Lepisosteus oculatus: one gene and its partner. The protein of the gene in region 2 binds, or shares a complex with, the protein of the main gene of each other region. Links are inferred from orthologs where the notes say so. Each region holds a gene or a part of one and is shown on either strand. Other genes may lie near its edges. The genes, in order: nckap1 and cyfip2.

Region 1 (8,160 bases), on a different chromosome or scaffold from region 2:
AATCAATTAATATTGTTACAGCTTTAGGTGACTGAGAAGTGTCTCGTAGATTTTAGATAATGTTTGTGACACTTGGAGTAAACACTTCTTCGTAACCCCCAATTTGTAACAATATGCTCAACCTATTTTTATTAACCCACCTGAACAGCAACAAACAATTCTAGCTTGTCAGAAACTTAGGTCACTTTCAGGCTCATAGTCATGTTTTATAAGAACTTAACGCATTTGTACATATAAAAAGTTTTATGAGCAAGGTATTAAACAAAAGTACTGTTTTTGGTGTTTGTCCTTACATATTTGAAAAAACGTATTTTTTTTTTTAATTTTCCTAATTTTTAATCAAGACCTTATTCAATACGCATAAACCGGAAATTTAAAAAATTAGGAAAGCTCTCAAAGTCAATATCAAGAAATTCAAAACTGACAATCTGAAAAATAAGCATAACATGGATTGCCTAATGTGTTCTATTAGCTTGGATCCCTTTTGGCTGGAAAATGTGCTACAATTATGTGATTTCTGCATGAAGCTTGCATACAGTGTCTGTGATGCTTGTGGATTATCCAAATCTGCAGCTGTCTACTAGTTGACACAGTATGGTGCCCAAAATGGCAGAATATGTCAACCAATAACATTACTAAGGTAAATAAAACAAGGAAATGTGCTGTTTCTTTTGGCATGGCATAAGCTTCAGACATTCAGTTTTTTAACTTATCAATCAAACAGCAAGACCAAAGAAGATTTTTTTTAACCTTTATGCATATAGGTAGCCTATGTACGCAAAAGCCTTTAACTCACAAAACATCTCACTTTGCTTTATGTAGTCTTTTGACCATTTGCATTCCAGTAAGAGTAAGATGTGGAGTACTATACTAAATGTGACTATTAAAAAAAATCAACCTCATATCTAAAACAATGTTGCAAAAGATGACTGGTAAATATCTGGATCTATGCTTTATTTTGTTATACTGAACATTAAATATGTGCCTACTTTTTCGACAAACAATACATAATATTAAGAAAAATAACTTCTGACCAAACAATAGAAAAAAGACCACATTGATTATTCATATAGATTACAAGTGCCAAAAATAATGAAAACATTACAATGAAAACACACAAAATATCTCTGTACATGTAGGCTATCTTTAGATAAGTTGTTTCAATCACACCCTTTTAAAATACATTTTGGTCCACTTCACATGACCACAAACAAATGCACACAACAGAACCTGCTAGGATATGTACTCTTTTCTGTAAATTGCAGTTAACAGGGACACGTTTTCCCCCTAGAGGATCTGTAGAGGAACATTAGCTTTTACCTCATTCATGTATTTTATACTTTTATTCTGATGATTTAAACCAGACATGTCAAAACTAAAATTCCTGGCTTTGTTCTGCAAAGAAGTTAGAAATTAGGTTTTGACACTAAAACTGGACAAATTAGGGAAAAACACTTATGGGCCAAAAAAGAAATACAAAAACAAATAGGACACTACAATACAATACAGGTGTATTCCTGAAGTTTCTGCAAGTTTCCAGACATAAAAAAACCAACACCCTACATATGTGCTGATTCACTCACATTAAGCGGGATAGAAGTATTACCTGATGTATGTCTGTCTTCCTCTTCTATCAAATGTAAATTATCTTCCTTTAAGCCCTACGCCATTTATATGATTATAGTGCTTTTTGTTTTGTTTTTCAATTAAAAGTATTGAGTAATATTCATGTTAAATATAGAAACGGCCCACAAAGCTTAATAAATATTTCCTGTATTTCATGCATTTTTTCCAATGGTATTTAATCCAGAAATGCTATAAGGCGTTAAATCAATTCTTATTTTATAATTCAGCAGCTTTCCAAAATACACTGATACAAAATATTGAGGTGCATTGTTAAGAATCTATGGGTAAACTACAGCTTTAAAAAAATACACGGTTAAGTGTACATTTTATTAATTGATTCCTCTTGCACTAATATATAACTCGAGCGATTTAAAAAATCTGTCACCTACTGCCAGCCATGAAATTTAACAAAAACAGGACGCAGTCTAACGCTTTCCTCCGCTGTCAGCTCTCCACCAATACGGCTTAGGGCACTAAAATCACCAACGAAGGGCAATGTCAATTTTTATACAAATAAACTGACAAGTTAAAATGTTACCGTCCATTTTTTTTTTATGGAGCCCACATTAATGCTACATTGCCGTGATGAGCTTACCAATCAAAACTATCACACAACCACACAGCGAGAAACAATTATGTCGCGATGTCTCACGCTGCGGTCTCGGTGCAAACAAGTTGTTTCACTCTCGCTGCCCATCGCTCCAAAGCTTCACAACAACTGGAAACGCCAACCATTCTTCTACATGCTGACGTGCTACACAGCTCGCTATGTACTACAAAACAGCGAAGGGGCTTTTAAGCTCGCGTTTTAAACACCATACCGCGGAGAATGAAAACACTCTGCCAGCAGGTGAAAAAAAAAAACCAAAAACAAAGATCTGCCAGATTTAATTCACAGACTGGCCGCCAATAACAAGAATTGAAGTAATTTCCTCTTTTCAGTACACTGCTTGTGTTACATGCCATTCCAGGCCTTGGGTGCATTCTTCCTGTCCATATCCCCATTCCCAGGCTCTGCAGAGTCATGTTGCAATGCCAGCTATGGCTTCCAAACGTCTAGGAAACAATGATGCTCACAGAACACTTTACCGTAAGGACTGCGACCCCCCCGAAAACAAGCACCCTGTGCATTATAACGCCACCTTACCTTTTTGATGTTATAAATGCGGGTGAGCATCCCGATTCCCCTGTCGTTGAGGATGGTCAGTTTCTCCGCCAGCTTCTGCTGGCTTGGCTGCAGCACACCCCTCGACATGCTGCTTGCTTAGTGTTTCACAAAACGGAGCACGCCGTAAAACCTTCGCTGTGTAGTGTGTGATTCGGACCTATTATGACCCCGAGCGTCTTAGTGTTATTTTCTTCCCATATTACGGATAAACAGCTTCGCAAAACTCCCCCCCGCTCTGCCCTCCGCTGTCTCCCTGTTTTCTCTAGGTGTTGCCCTGACTCTCAGAACGAGGCCGTTTCCTGCAACACCGACGCATGTCACGTGACTCCCATTGCACTGATTTCCGCCTCTGTGGTCCAAATTGACAGCCTGTTACTAGCACAGTGTTTTCATACCGCAGATAATGATTCGAATTTTAAAATGGCCCACTACTTCTTAATTTCAGTAGGGATTATTTATACGCTGACTGTGGTGCTTGTGTCCGTTACATTGGCTTCTTCTCTGGGAGATGTTCTGTTTTCCACCAACACAATACGCGTTTATCCTGAGCAAAGCAACTACTGAAACTCCGAGGCACTTTATTTTCCTAAATGTCAGTAGAAGACTGCTTTACAGACTTACCATTATCATATTTTTTATTGAATTCTTTATCATGGGTCAAGTTATGCATACACCTTTTTAAGCATTTTCTAACCACTTTATCCAATACAGGGTTTATACAGAGTTATGGATGAGCTGGAATCTATACCAGCAGGCAATGGGTATAAGGCAGAACACATCTAAGATACTGTAGGATGCTAGTCCATTGCAGGGAACGCACAGACTCACACCAGGAAACCATGCAAACACATAAACAGAACATACAAACTCCACACAGATAGCAACCCAGGTCCAGAATTGAACCCAGGGATCAGGGATTTAAATATTGTACATAAATAAACTTAATTGTGAATATATCAATATAATAAATACTAAAAACTGCAAACAAGAATCTAAAATTGAAGTTACTTTAAGTACATACCCCCCACACACACCGCTATGGAAAACCTAATTTATTAAGGTGCACAAAGTAATTAATTTAATGCAAATACTCAAGCATCATAAACACGTAGTTTTCCAAAAAAACACAGGGATTATTTGACCCTATTTAAATAATAACTGCATTTTTCATGATGCTGGTCTCTCATCTGGTGGGCACCCTTTTCAGACATTACAAGGGATAACACTTTATGTACTCGCCATGATCTCCAATCATGTGATAATGTACATTATCAAATTCATATCAAAATACATGTACATTACTGTACATTACTTCCTGCTTTATTTTCTCATATCTATATCATTAGAAGAGTGTGAATACTTTTACAATGCCTCATGTCTCACAAAAACAATATGCAGTTGTATATAACAACAGTAGTATATCACAAAAACAGCGAAATATATCTAGTTTAAACATAAAATATGGTATATGTCATCCAATATTCCTGAGTATATTTGAAGTTTATAATATTTAAGTTTATAACAATAGAATATAATAAATAGAATAGATTTATAAAATCTATGTGGGATATCCTTTATTTCAAGTTTTTTATCTGTGCTATCTCCACTAAAAATAAAAAAAATATTGATATATTAATACAAAAAGACTGTTTTCATCGCGTCCTTGATTTTGATACTTTTTTTTTCATTTTATATTCACCACTAAATTAATCAGTTTTACCCATTCTGTCTAGGTATATTTACATTACACTTGAATTATTTGTGTGCTAATATAATGTTTAATATTTTAAAATATGACGAAAGATAACGTGATTCTAATAGAGGGGTCGTTTAATGTGTTTTGTGTTTTCTAAAAAAATAACACGTTTTTCTTCTAAGAGGAAGCTCGGAATTATCCAGCCATCCATTTTCAGTAAACGTGACGCCTAGGAAGTCAGTTCTTGGGAATGAACACTAGCCTGTTTCTTCTGTGAATGAAGTACAGTACGCAGCAATTGGTGATAACCGGGGTGTACGCTGCCATAGACTTCCGCACCTACAGGTGGCGATGTTTTAAAGTACTACATGCTCCCAAAAATATATCTAGGTTACAGATGGTTTCTTCTCGGTTTTCAGGCAGTTGATAGCAAGTGATGAGATCTTCGGTGAAGTACAAGAGCGTATTGGAATCCCATTGCGGCAAGTGGACAGCTGAGTTACTGTAGACTTTTTCTGCTTTGAACTGTTCCTGTAACACACATGTAATGCATTCGCTTGCTCAAGAAATAAAGGCTTTTTCAAAGTCGGCACTGAAAAAGCAATGTACCAGGGTAACGACTTTAACTGGGAAAAGAATAATAGAAACGTGGAAAGACTCCACTGTGCAGGTGGTTGAAGAAACCGTACAACCCGAAGGTGCTTGTGGATATGTTCAGGATCTCAGTTTGGATCTCCAAGTCGGTATCGTCAAACCTTGGTTACTGCTTGGTGAGACAAATAGTTTTGCATTGTCAAATGTCATTCACACAGATTTAAGAAAAAAAAATTGCACTTAGCAGCAAAGCTGTCAGAATTCATTTTTGAACCACGTGTTAAGTTTTCAATTCCATTTAGCTTAAGCGTTCTGAAGTTTTACTATGGATGGGGGAAATGCCTTATTATTTTAAGAAGTTAGAGCAGCTGTTGACTTCAGGGATAGCAAACAAGGCACTGCAAGTAAGAAACGCTTCTGGAAGCACAAATCAGTTACTGTATATTAAGATACATTGATGTTTAATTTCAGTGTTGTGTTTTTGGTTATGAACTTTGGTATATGCTTAAAGTATTAATTTTAAATGAGTCCTTTATCAATGAATAGTTAAAAAATGTTTTTTATGGTACTTTCTACACTTGTTTTTAATACAGTCCCCTTTATCAGAGAAGCTTGTGAATTGCATATGAGATGCAACATTTAAAACATGCTCTGTAAAATGCTTGTCTTTTGAGGCGGGGCTCTGATTTTAGATTATTTAAAGAAAACTGTAGTTCTGTTCAAGCACTTAATATGGATGGATGAGTTACGCTAAGTAGCATACATGTCCACTCTCTCAGGTTCCTGTAATAAGCCAACCATCTTCCCTTCTAGTGTTAAAACACTAGAATAATAACTGCAGTATTAGTGTGAAAATGACAACTATTATTAACTAAAACATTGATGTCAGTGTTCTTTTTTGTTCTAGCCTCACAAGATGTTGCCCAGGACTTTGATATATTAAAGAAATTTAAGGTATTATTTATTTTCAGTGTCTGCTGTATGATATTTAAATTTCTTTACACATTGGCCTTCGATGAGTGTATTTTCAGTAACATTTACTGTTGATCTTTTTCAGGTTACACACATATTGAATGTTGCATATGGTGTTGAAAACACTTTTCAAGATCAGTTTGTTTATAAGCAGCTTTCCATACTGGATCTTCCAGAGACTGTCATTACCTCATATTTCCAGGAATGTTCAGAGTTTATAGAGCAGGTCAAGGCACAGGTAGGCCTTATACTTTTGTTGCATTAAAATAGTATGTTACTTTACGAAACAAAAGGGTGTCCCCTTTGATAGATCTCTAGATTGTAATTTCTTTTCACAAACTTAAGTTATATTTCATTTATTTTAATTTAAGAAAGTATGTAACAATTTGTTCATCTAATCATACTGCTAGATTAGTTAAAAAGCAAGTAAGGAGTATATCATGTATTAAAAAAATTCTAGGAGACCTGTCAGCGTGTTTCCATACATCCATCCATTTTCTAATTGCCTCAGGGTTGCAGGAGAGCCAGATCCTATCCCAGCAAGCAACAGGTACAAGGCAGACTGACACAGACACGCACACACTCACACCTACTGTAAGGCCCATTGTCCCAGACATCAATTGACCTATCAGTTTGTTTTTGGACTGTGGGAGGAAACCGGAGCCCCCAGAGAAAATGCATGTGAATGCGGGAAGAACACCCCACGCAGATACAGCAGGATGCCAGGTCCGGAATTGAACCAGGGTCCCGGGCAGTGAAGTAGCTGTGTTAACCACTGTGCCACCATGCCACTTGTTAATGTATTTAATGAAGAAATCTGATAATCTCGTTAACTAAATCTTTGCAGTAATTTCCTGAGTGGTCAGTTTTAGGAGACTGCCTATTTGATACCCCGCAGTCTGCTGGTGCAGAGCATTCCTTGCACCTGATATCAACATGGCAGTGCTAGTTTTCATGATCCATTATTCAGTAGGTAGATAACGATCATATCTCTACAGGCCATTGTATCTCATGCAGCCTTGTTGCCAAACCAGTGTCATGGTAATCAGCTGCCTTACTCTATTGCATTAAAGGAACTCACGGAGGTACAGTATATAATTACATCATGTATTAAAAATAAGTTTCCACTTTACACTTAAAATTGATCTGTCACCATTTTCGTTTGCAATCCAATTAATTCTGACATCATGTTTTATTGATTATAATTACATGGAATACTAGTAATAATGAATAATAATGTCTTACACTTATATAGCGCTTTTCTGGACACTCCACTCAAAGCGCTTTACAGGTAATGGGGGCTCCCCTCCACTAGTGTGTCATCTTATTGTTCTCTTGCAAATGTAGAGGTTTTCTAAAGGCTAATTTTTTTCAAGTCCTTTTAGGTATAATAAAATATAATCTATTTCAATGAAATTGTGTTTTCAGCTAACATATGTGTTGAAAACACCTTTTCTTAATATACTGTATAGTAAGTGCCAAGTCTATGAGGAAACAAATGCAACTTCATTAAAGAGGTTAAAGAAAATTAAGAGAAGATAACCAGTGATGATTTCCTTTACATTTACCAACTCTAACAAACAAAGACAGGGAGAGAAACTTCATTTTTATTTAATAATATGGCTATGTATCATTTTTTGCTGTAATTAGGGAATACAATATGCTTGCTGGCATAGGCATAGGTTTTCCTGTGATCCTGAATTGGAAAAAGGGGTTAAAAATGGATGGATGCATGTTTTTGACCAACACATCTACTAAACGTAGATGCAGTATGAAGGTATTTTCACGATTTGTATATGGTTCTGGATCTTACTTCATGCCTCTCATGAAGGTTCTACCTTTTAATCTTGACACTGGTTGTGTATTGTTTCTAATTCTTCTTAAATGCTTTTTTCACAAAGTTAAAAAAGCAAGACAGTGTTAAGTACTATGTGAAGATTTTGTTTTCCCTTCTCTCTTTAGAACGGAGTGGTGCTTGTTCACTGCAATGCTGGGGTGTCCCGCTCTGCATCCATAGTCATTGGATACCTGATGTCAACAGAAGGTCTGCGTTTTGATGATGCATTTGCATTGGTGAAGAATGCGAGACCAGCTATATGTCCAA
Region 2 (8,199 bases):
TTAAGCTGGCTCACTGAAGAAAGAAAAGTTTTCATCCACACTTACAGTATAATCCAGTACTTTCACAGAACCAGACAAAACCGTACAAAAGAAGAGAACTCCCGAGTAGCTCAAACAGTAAAGCTTCTTGTTTAAGAGTGTAGATGTTGGTGGTTCAGCGATGGACCATGTGATTACCTAGTGAAGGTAGCCAGCAAAGGTATCAGCGTACAACAGCTTCTAGCTGTCAGGCATCTATACTAAAAAAGAAGTGTGGAAAGCCAATTTAGTCACTGATTGACCTAGTACAGTAAATCCTAACTCCCTCTGTCGATTTAGACTGCCTAGATTTAAGTGCAAATGTTCTTTCATTCTTTCATTTTAGATTTTTCATTCCCACAACTACGAACCTGCTCAATTCACACAAAGCAATGGATTGTTACGTTTTATTTCCATCATGTTTGTATCTTACTGAGGTACGGTATCTATTTCACTCACAGATTGTCCAATGTTTTATGTACCTATTTTGGACAGTGAGGATTGCTTCTATTTTTTAATCTTATGGCGTGTATGTTTTTAATTTGTTAATGGACTCATGTTGTTTTAAAAGTACTATGTATTGTGATTGCCTTTTTTATCTGCCTACAGTGCAAATCTCCCATCTGGGTTTATAAAGTAAGTATCCAGGAGATGTGTTGCTCCTCAAATCCGCACTAACTCCTATAAGACACTATAGTATAGTTTCCCAACAGTGGCAAGACCTGAACTTGGCAAAGGGTTTGAAGAGTTCTCAGTCCTTCCAAAGAAAATTTAGGGGACAGAAATCCCACTTGGCTTAGAAAGCCAACAATCTCTGAGCTAAACGCACTTTAGGTTTAATTGAATGTTGCCCTTAATTTGGTCTGAAATGTCATACTTTGCAGACAACTTTTATCTTGTTTATACTGGACGCTAATAAAGCTTTAATTCTCCCTCAAACACTGAGAACTCACCTTATCTGTTTGTTCTCATGTCAAAAGTAAAGACATGGGCATGTGATACTCACACCTGAAACAAAAGTGCTCTCAACCTTTAGAAACTGCAGATTAACTTGTTGGTTATAAACCCGGCTGGACTGAGGCTCTCCACGCCCAGGGTTAGACATACACACTCTACAGTTTGCGTTCTGTTGCAAATAGAAGCAAAAACCATGATACCTCTAAGTCCTAAGCAGAGGTTTGTCAGATTTCTCTTGTGTGCATGCGAGAACACATTCAAACGAGGAACTGATGTAAGAGGATGGTATCTGTTCCCAGGACTGCTGAATTACCTGGGTCTACAAACAATAACTTGTGATTATGCCAAAATAAAACACATCAGTTGTGTTCTAGAGCTGTCTGTAAATTTGGGGTCCTGCTTATTTAAGTGTTATATCACTGCTGGATAGTCCCGTGCTTTATTGCCAAGTCTCCTTGATAGTTTAACTAGGCAATGATTGTGATGGGAAATAATTTCCCCCTTGGTTCCTGTTCCCCGGTTCCCTGGGATACATTCTTAATGAGACACACATGAACACCACATACAGTACATACAATAGGAAAAGAACAATGGTATGACTTCAGAACCATTGCATCAAGCAGTTCCTGTCAAGCTTTGCACCAAGTTAGCAGGTACAGTAGGAAGTTACAGACTTCGAAGTTGCATTTTGGTAGTTCATACTGTACATACAACAAGGATCTGACTTGTGACCAAAACAGTTCAGGAGAAATGTTCCTGGCCACAAAACAGCAAACTTTCCACACAATGGCAGAAGTAAAACACCATTTAGGAGAAGGTGTAAGTCAATTTGATGCAACAAAGAAAGCTTTTAAAAAGCTTATCTTAAAGCACTTATCATTTTTACAACAGACTATGTAATGCTTTCTATGATATATTATAAGGTGTAATAGAGCCCTACCACTGTCTAACACATTTTTCCTTAACAAGTTTTTTTAAAATTAATTCTATACAAATGTAACTCATCTAAATGTTTGCATCATTTTTTTTAATTTTATAAACAAATTTTTAGCAAAGAGTTTCTGCTGTCATAAAAATGATAAAAAACGTTTTTTTTTTCTTTGAAGTCATTGCGTACCGGATTACCAAGCTCCTGGTTACAACATATTTGGATTTGGTTGTGCAAATGGCTGAATGACAACATAACATTTTCACTCAGTTATACGTTATTTAATGTACGTGCCCAAGGTTTGATATTATGCATTATTCAGGTCTAGACTAGGGATCGTGTAGCTACAGTACTTGAATTACTGAGAACAGGGCGTCACGTAGCGTTTGAGGAGATACAAAGTATTTCTTAATGTTCAGGCAGAGTGACTGCAACAGAAACAAATCAACCAGTTGAAACCAGGTAATAATAGAAAATGAGAGACCATGCTTCATGAATATTATTATTCTTAATTTGCATATTTGCTCTAGTTTTTCGATTGCAGAAAAAAATAACTATACGAGGCCTGGCTATTGCAAGCTGCCTGCATGACACCACAGAGATCCTATCAGAACCGCGACATCCAGCTCTGGGTATTCAGGTGGATTTAAAGAGACACGTCGTGTAAAGCGACACAAAATTAAAAATAAAATAAAGCCCAGGTCCATCACTTCAAAATGTATTGAAAACAATAACAGACACCAAATTTGAGTGAATGCAGGTTTAAACTGTAGATAAGGATCGCGACATGAATATAGAGATGTTATGTATTTTTCATCATTTAGAAAAAAAACCCATAATCTATATTTTTCTGAAAACCCGTCATTCGTGAAAAGTAATGCACACATCCGATATCAAGTAAGACATACAGGAATTACAATACCGAGTAGCACACATAGACACAGTTCACCCCACCCAATTAAAAAATACTCGAATGGTAGCTGAGGCTTATGCATTATCACGTTCGAGAGAAAAATCTTCTAGAATACCTAAAGGATAGTAAGGAAAAAATATTTATACTTATCCATAGATTTAGTCACCTGCAAAAAATGTCCACAATTTTTTCTCATATATTACAATTATCTAAATAGCAAAGCCTGTGGTAGCATACAGCATCATGTAACTGCACTAAACCCATTGGCAGGTCTGTGCCATCTCTCTCATCGCGTTTGAACAATATTGATGATAAAGAATTAAATCTTACCTGATGCTCGCATGACCCTTTTTGGCGATGCTGACGGAACGGTTCGCATTTACGCCTCAGACCTGTGTTTTAAAGTGGTGATGTCTCAGTGATGCTCTTGCCTGGCAGAATGCTCATCCGCTAATCCCCGAAACACAAAGAGCAGAAAATGGCTGCAAATGTGTTTCCTTAAAGCTACATGACAGTCAACACAGCAGCAGTCACATCACTGCTCGGCTCCGAAGCGGTTCGCGTTAGCTATATTTAGTGGATGAATGTGCAGGTTGGAAGAGTATTTTTTTTTCATTTAATGTTCTCAGTCCAGTTGTTGATGCATTTAATCTGCCCTTCCCCTCAACATAGAAAGCTCGCGTTATTTTATAAACTGTAGCTATATACAAATTAATATTAATATTGTAGCCGTATGCGTTACAATATCAATCAGCAAGCCAATTCATGGTAACTGAACCATAACCCAGACTGAAATCTGCATTGAGTTTATTCCAACGGCAGCACTTGAATGATAAAACCATCAAATTGTGCAAATGACACTGATGTGTACATAATTTACAGAAGTTATTCCTCTTTCACTTGGAAGCGGGGTTTCAAACCATACAGTATAATACTGCATGATGGAGACTATTTCGGTTATTACATGGCCAAAAAAAATTAAACCAGTTTTTTTTTTTTTGTATCGAGCATATTCATGTCAGGGTTGTCCTGGAGTGTTGAACAAGAAACGTGCGAAGATAAAAAAAGAATAAAAAGTTCTTAGTTTAAAAGCATAACACGAAAAACAGAACAGTAGAAGATAAAAAACGAAACTTAAAGAGAACAACTGACTTCCATGTCTACTGGTCTTCGAAAACGGGTAAGTACTGTAACTGGTATCTGCAGAATGCAAATACTTGGGTTGAACAAACACAAAAAAGTACTAAACCGAACCTCTTATAAATACTGTAGCTCAACGATACCGTTCTAAGATGAACCCAGATTTGATATATAGAACATAAAGAAACCATGACAAGATCAATGTAATTCTAAGAGTTGAGTTTGTTTTAATTCTCATACTGAATTATGTATAGTAAAACCCTTAATTCAAAGAAACACACAAACCCCAATAATGGGAGTGTGGAACATTTATTGGTACGGCTAGGCTTAAACCTGCTTGAGACATCCACGTGGATAAATGTATGAGACCCGCTATATTATAAACCAGATGTTTTCTACATTGGCAGTGGCACTAGGAGGGATGGATACCAATAGGTGATATTGTGACAAACACTATGAAATAGTGACTTAAAGGCCTATTATACCTTACAGTCAGTGATCAGTGGAAAATGGAGTGTGTCCTGTACCATTGTTATGAACTTCAGATAACATTTATTTTCCTAAATATGGATATACAAGATGTGAAATTAACATTTTCCTTCCCCCATCCTTCCCTTATCTCGTGTGGCTGTCCTTGTGCAGGTGGGTCACAGTTAAATTGTAGTGTCTGAAATATATCAAGTCGGGTAAAAAAATAATTTCTAGACATGCCACAAATCAATCTCAGTATCCGTTAACAAAACACAGAGGAGAGTGGTGGTACACTGAGACACAAGTGTCTGTTGTGTTTATAGAAACCAGAAACTTTAAAGTGATTTCTCTCATAATCACTCCTTTTTGGCATATCAACCGTAACCATGGACAATATAACAATACAACACTATAAACAGAGGGTATAACAGAAGATATAAGCAATTTTTGAAAGCTGTCTCACTGAGCCTCACCCTTTTTGGTGCCCCGCCTAATGTAATGATACGTCAGGCAGGACACAGTGAGACATACTGTACCACCTCTGGGACATTAAAGCATCAGACATTTACAGGGAAATGTGAAGCAATGCTCAGATAAGAATAAAACTTTTCATACATGAACATGTATTTTGTCTCTGACCAAATCATGGTAAGTAGATTAGATATCTTGTTATTTAGGTCCACAGTTGTAAAAGAACAATTGTACTACACTAAGTTGATTTTATCGAAAGAATGGCGGTACTGCAATACTGATTAACTTGCGAAATCTTTAATATGTGATAATATGCAAGATGCTTTGGATAAAAATGTTATATACTGGAGCTGCAATTTATTCTTAGAACAATTATTGAAGTAGATCATCCTTGGTTATAGATTTAAGAGAATTATAATGTATTGATTTCAGGCACAATTATTTTAGTGGTTAATAATAGTGAGCATCCTTTGAATTGCATATAACAAAAACTAGCACAGGGTACAAACCTATACAACATGTGTGTCTCACTCTGCTCCTCTGAACTGTATCAACTATGACAAGCCCACCCACTGGGCCTATTATTTTTAAGTGAGGGAGAAAATAAGGTGAAAACATTTAGCTTTTTTAGAGGTAACTCTTAAGACACTTTAGGGTTTCCCTTTCTCACAAACCTTTGTTCTCTTTTGAACAGGACAGTGGAAAAAATATTAGGAATACAAAACTGCCTTATAAATCATGCCTCTTACCTAATTGCTTCCTTTAGTTCCAAAACAAGAAGTTTGGAAGGGCCACTGCAGTTCTACTCTCTAAATGTAAAGACTGGAATATTTTTTAGTGTTTGCGTTTCTCCAGATCTCATTGTGCCCCATCTTCCATTGCACACAATGATTTACTGTTACTTATCTTATGGTGTTAACAGTTTAAAAAGAAACATTACCCATTATTACTGTTACAGTTGTGTTTTTTTAGTAACTGGACTTCACAGCAACTTCTGACACAAACACAAGGAGAAAAATGTAATACATTCCATTTTTTAATTGTTTACTTACAAAATCAAGGTACTTATAGACCAATAAGTAAAGATAACTACTAAAATGTAAAATATTAAAGTGTGTGTTATACTGTATTATCGTGTTCAAATAAGCTGCATGACTGGGTTGATATAGAAAAAATATTTCTTATTCTTTTTACAGATAAGGAGACAATTGAATGTTATACAGAAAGTAGTGCTTTCAGATAAATTAGAAGGAGCATTCAATACATGAAGAAGGTAATATACGGATTAAAAAAATAGGATTTTAAAATTGCACATAGCAACGAATGCAACTAAGCCATTGTTTCCTCCTTAATGGAATTAAAGTAATAAAAACAAAAACCTTTGAATACATTAACAAAGCTAACCTTTTTACACTCTTGGAATAGTTGTGAGAGCTAAAGAATCTCGCACAGACTGAACAATCACATTCACAAGAAAATCAATTACTGCCAATAGATGTCACTCTTTCATATGAACAGACAAATGCTCGCAACGCTAATGGTTAGCACAACAGGCAATTCAGATTTCCCCCCTCTGTTCCTCCTGCCTCCCAAAGGCCTGTTTAACTGGTGCTCTACATGGTCCTTCTGTGAGTCCCGATGGACTGGACTCCCATCTAGAGTGTAGTTCTGCCTTGTACGCTGTCTGTCTGTGTTAGGCTGCAGGTTACCGCAACCTTTACCTATACCAGAAATATGCAGATTTCTGATAGTATCTAAAAATAACTAAAAAAATAATGTAATAAAAATAATGGATGATCAATAGAGTGAGTGTAAGAGTGTCAGTGTGAGATTATCTGTCATCACAGCAGTGTGCCGTTGTAAAGGTTTGAGGGTCTATCAGTGTGTAAGCATCTGTACAAGTGTTAGTGTGACATTATCTGTCAGTGTACCACTTTGTAGCCTGATTAGAAGCTAGGCAATGATGGGACTGACCAACACAGGAATGGAAAATCCCCAGTCCTGCACCTCACACACCAGATAAATCCTTAACTGAACCAGTGACTGTCCTGGTTGTTACCGTTGTAACTATGTTTTCTGGACTGAAAGGTTTGATACCTTAAGTTCCATTTGAAACACAATCATTAAAAGGCAACCTCCTACATGTTTAACAATTCAAAACAACTAAAGAAGTCACATTTATACACCTATAATTTGGTCTGTTAAGGGGTTCAACTGATTGCTCAGCTGGAGCACTCAAATCAGCAGATGTGTGGATCTCCGGGACCAAGGCTGGGAGCTCCTACTCTGAGCAAAACGAACCTGCAGCTGTTGTAGGCTGTGGACCAGCAGGCCAGAGTAACCATCTGACTGAGAATTTAAACCTGGCTCTTAGCTTTATAGTTGTTAAAGCTGCACTGTTTGTAAGAGTAGGTGTTTATGGAAATCATAATTAACTATAGGAAAAATGTAATTAAAATACAAGATGTCAGGATTAAAATATTTCTCAGAACTGAATTTGTACAAGCAAGTAACAAAGATGTAAGGAAGGTTATAAACAATAGGGAGACATTCAGCCCATTTGATACCAAAAGTAGTTAATTATCAAACTACCAATTGTTAATTAGTAGTTAATTGATTGGGGATGTCATCCAGCCATTCCTTGAATGAAACCAGGATATTGGCCTAAACAACATGACTGGATAGCTTGTCATGATAGCCATAAAAAGTCCCATGGTCGATTCTGAAAAAGATTACTGTTAAATTATATTGTAAAGAACACAAATGCAGGATGGTATTTATTAAGCAACCATGTGACAATTTCTGTCAAGGAACAGGTAAAGGTTTAATCCATGCTGAAAAGAGAAGAAAAGAATCAACGTTTCGGCTGTGGACCTTCTTCAAATGAATCTTTACTTGTTCCTTTGCAGCCTACGCATGCTGACGCAGCTCCCCACCTGAACCATTTTTGTTAAGGCCTTGTCTAAGAGCCTTGTAGCTTTTCTGCTTTTGTATGCTACTGCAATGTAAATTTTGGTATCTGAAAAAGCAATAAATACAGTATAAATATATATATATTCTTTTCTTTATACAGTTTATGTCCATTTCATCTGGGCTTCCAACAGCTTAATTTCAGAAATCAGCAATTTCTGCCAGCTGATGGAAGAGAATTGCAAAAGATGGGCGGTCTTCTGGTTTCTAAGGAGAGAATTAAACAAAAACATGAAAAAAAAATGTTTAAAAAGTTTGCATCAGGAGAACTTCTTCTATCCCAACAATAACAGTATAGGTAAAATGAAAAACTCTTTGTTGTGTTGTGAAT

Evidence for each region.
Region 1: cyfip2 (region 2) and nckap1 share a complex: the UniProt entries of both Homo sapiens proteins name them as parts of the WAVE1 complex. The link is inferred for Lepisosteus oculatus from reciprocal best matches to the Homo sapiens genes CYFIP2 and NCKAP1.

Annotation. Positions count from the first base shown.
Region 1 is NC_090707.1:18,461,813-18,469,972, forward strand, and holds the start of nckap1 (nck-associated protein 1), read right to left. Parts: upstream 3,100-8,160; 5' UTR 2,882-3,099; coding exon 2,774-2,881; intron 1-2,773. Other genes in the region: dusp19a (dual specificity protein phosphatase 19), read left to right, coding at 5,038-5,260, 5,992-6,038, 6,142-6,294, 8,019-8,160. UniProt on the Homo sapiens protein: Part of the WAVE complex that regulates lamellipodia formation. The WAVE complex regulates actin filament reorganization via its interaction with the Arp2/3 complex. Actin remodeling activity is regulated by RAC1.
Region 2 is NC_090706.1:30,455,245-30,463,443, reverse strand, and holds the start of cyfip2 (cytoplasmic FMR1-interacting protein 2), read right to left. Parts: upstream 3,073-8,199; 5' UTR 2,983-3,072; intron 1-2,982. Other genes in the region: itk (tyrosine-protein kinase ITK/TSK), read right to left, coding at 8,010-8,075. UniProt on the Homo sapiens protein: Involved in T-cell adhesion and p53/TP53-dependent induction of apoptosis. Does not bind RNA. As component of the WAVE1 complex, required for BDNF-NTRK2 endocytic trafficking and signaling from early endosomes.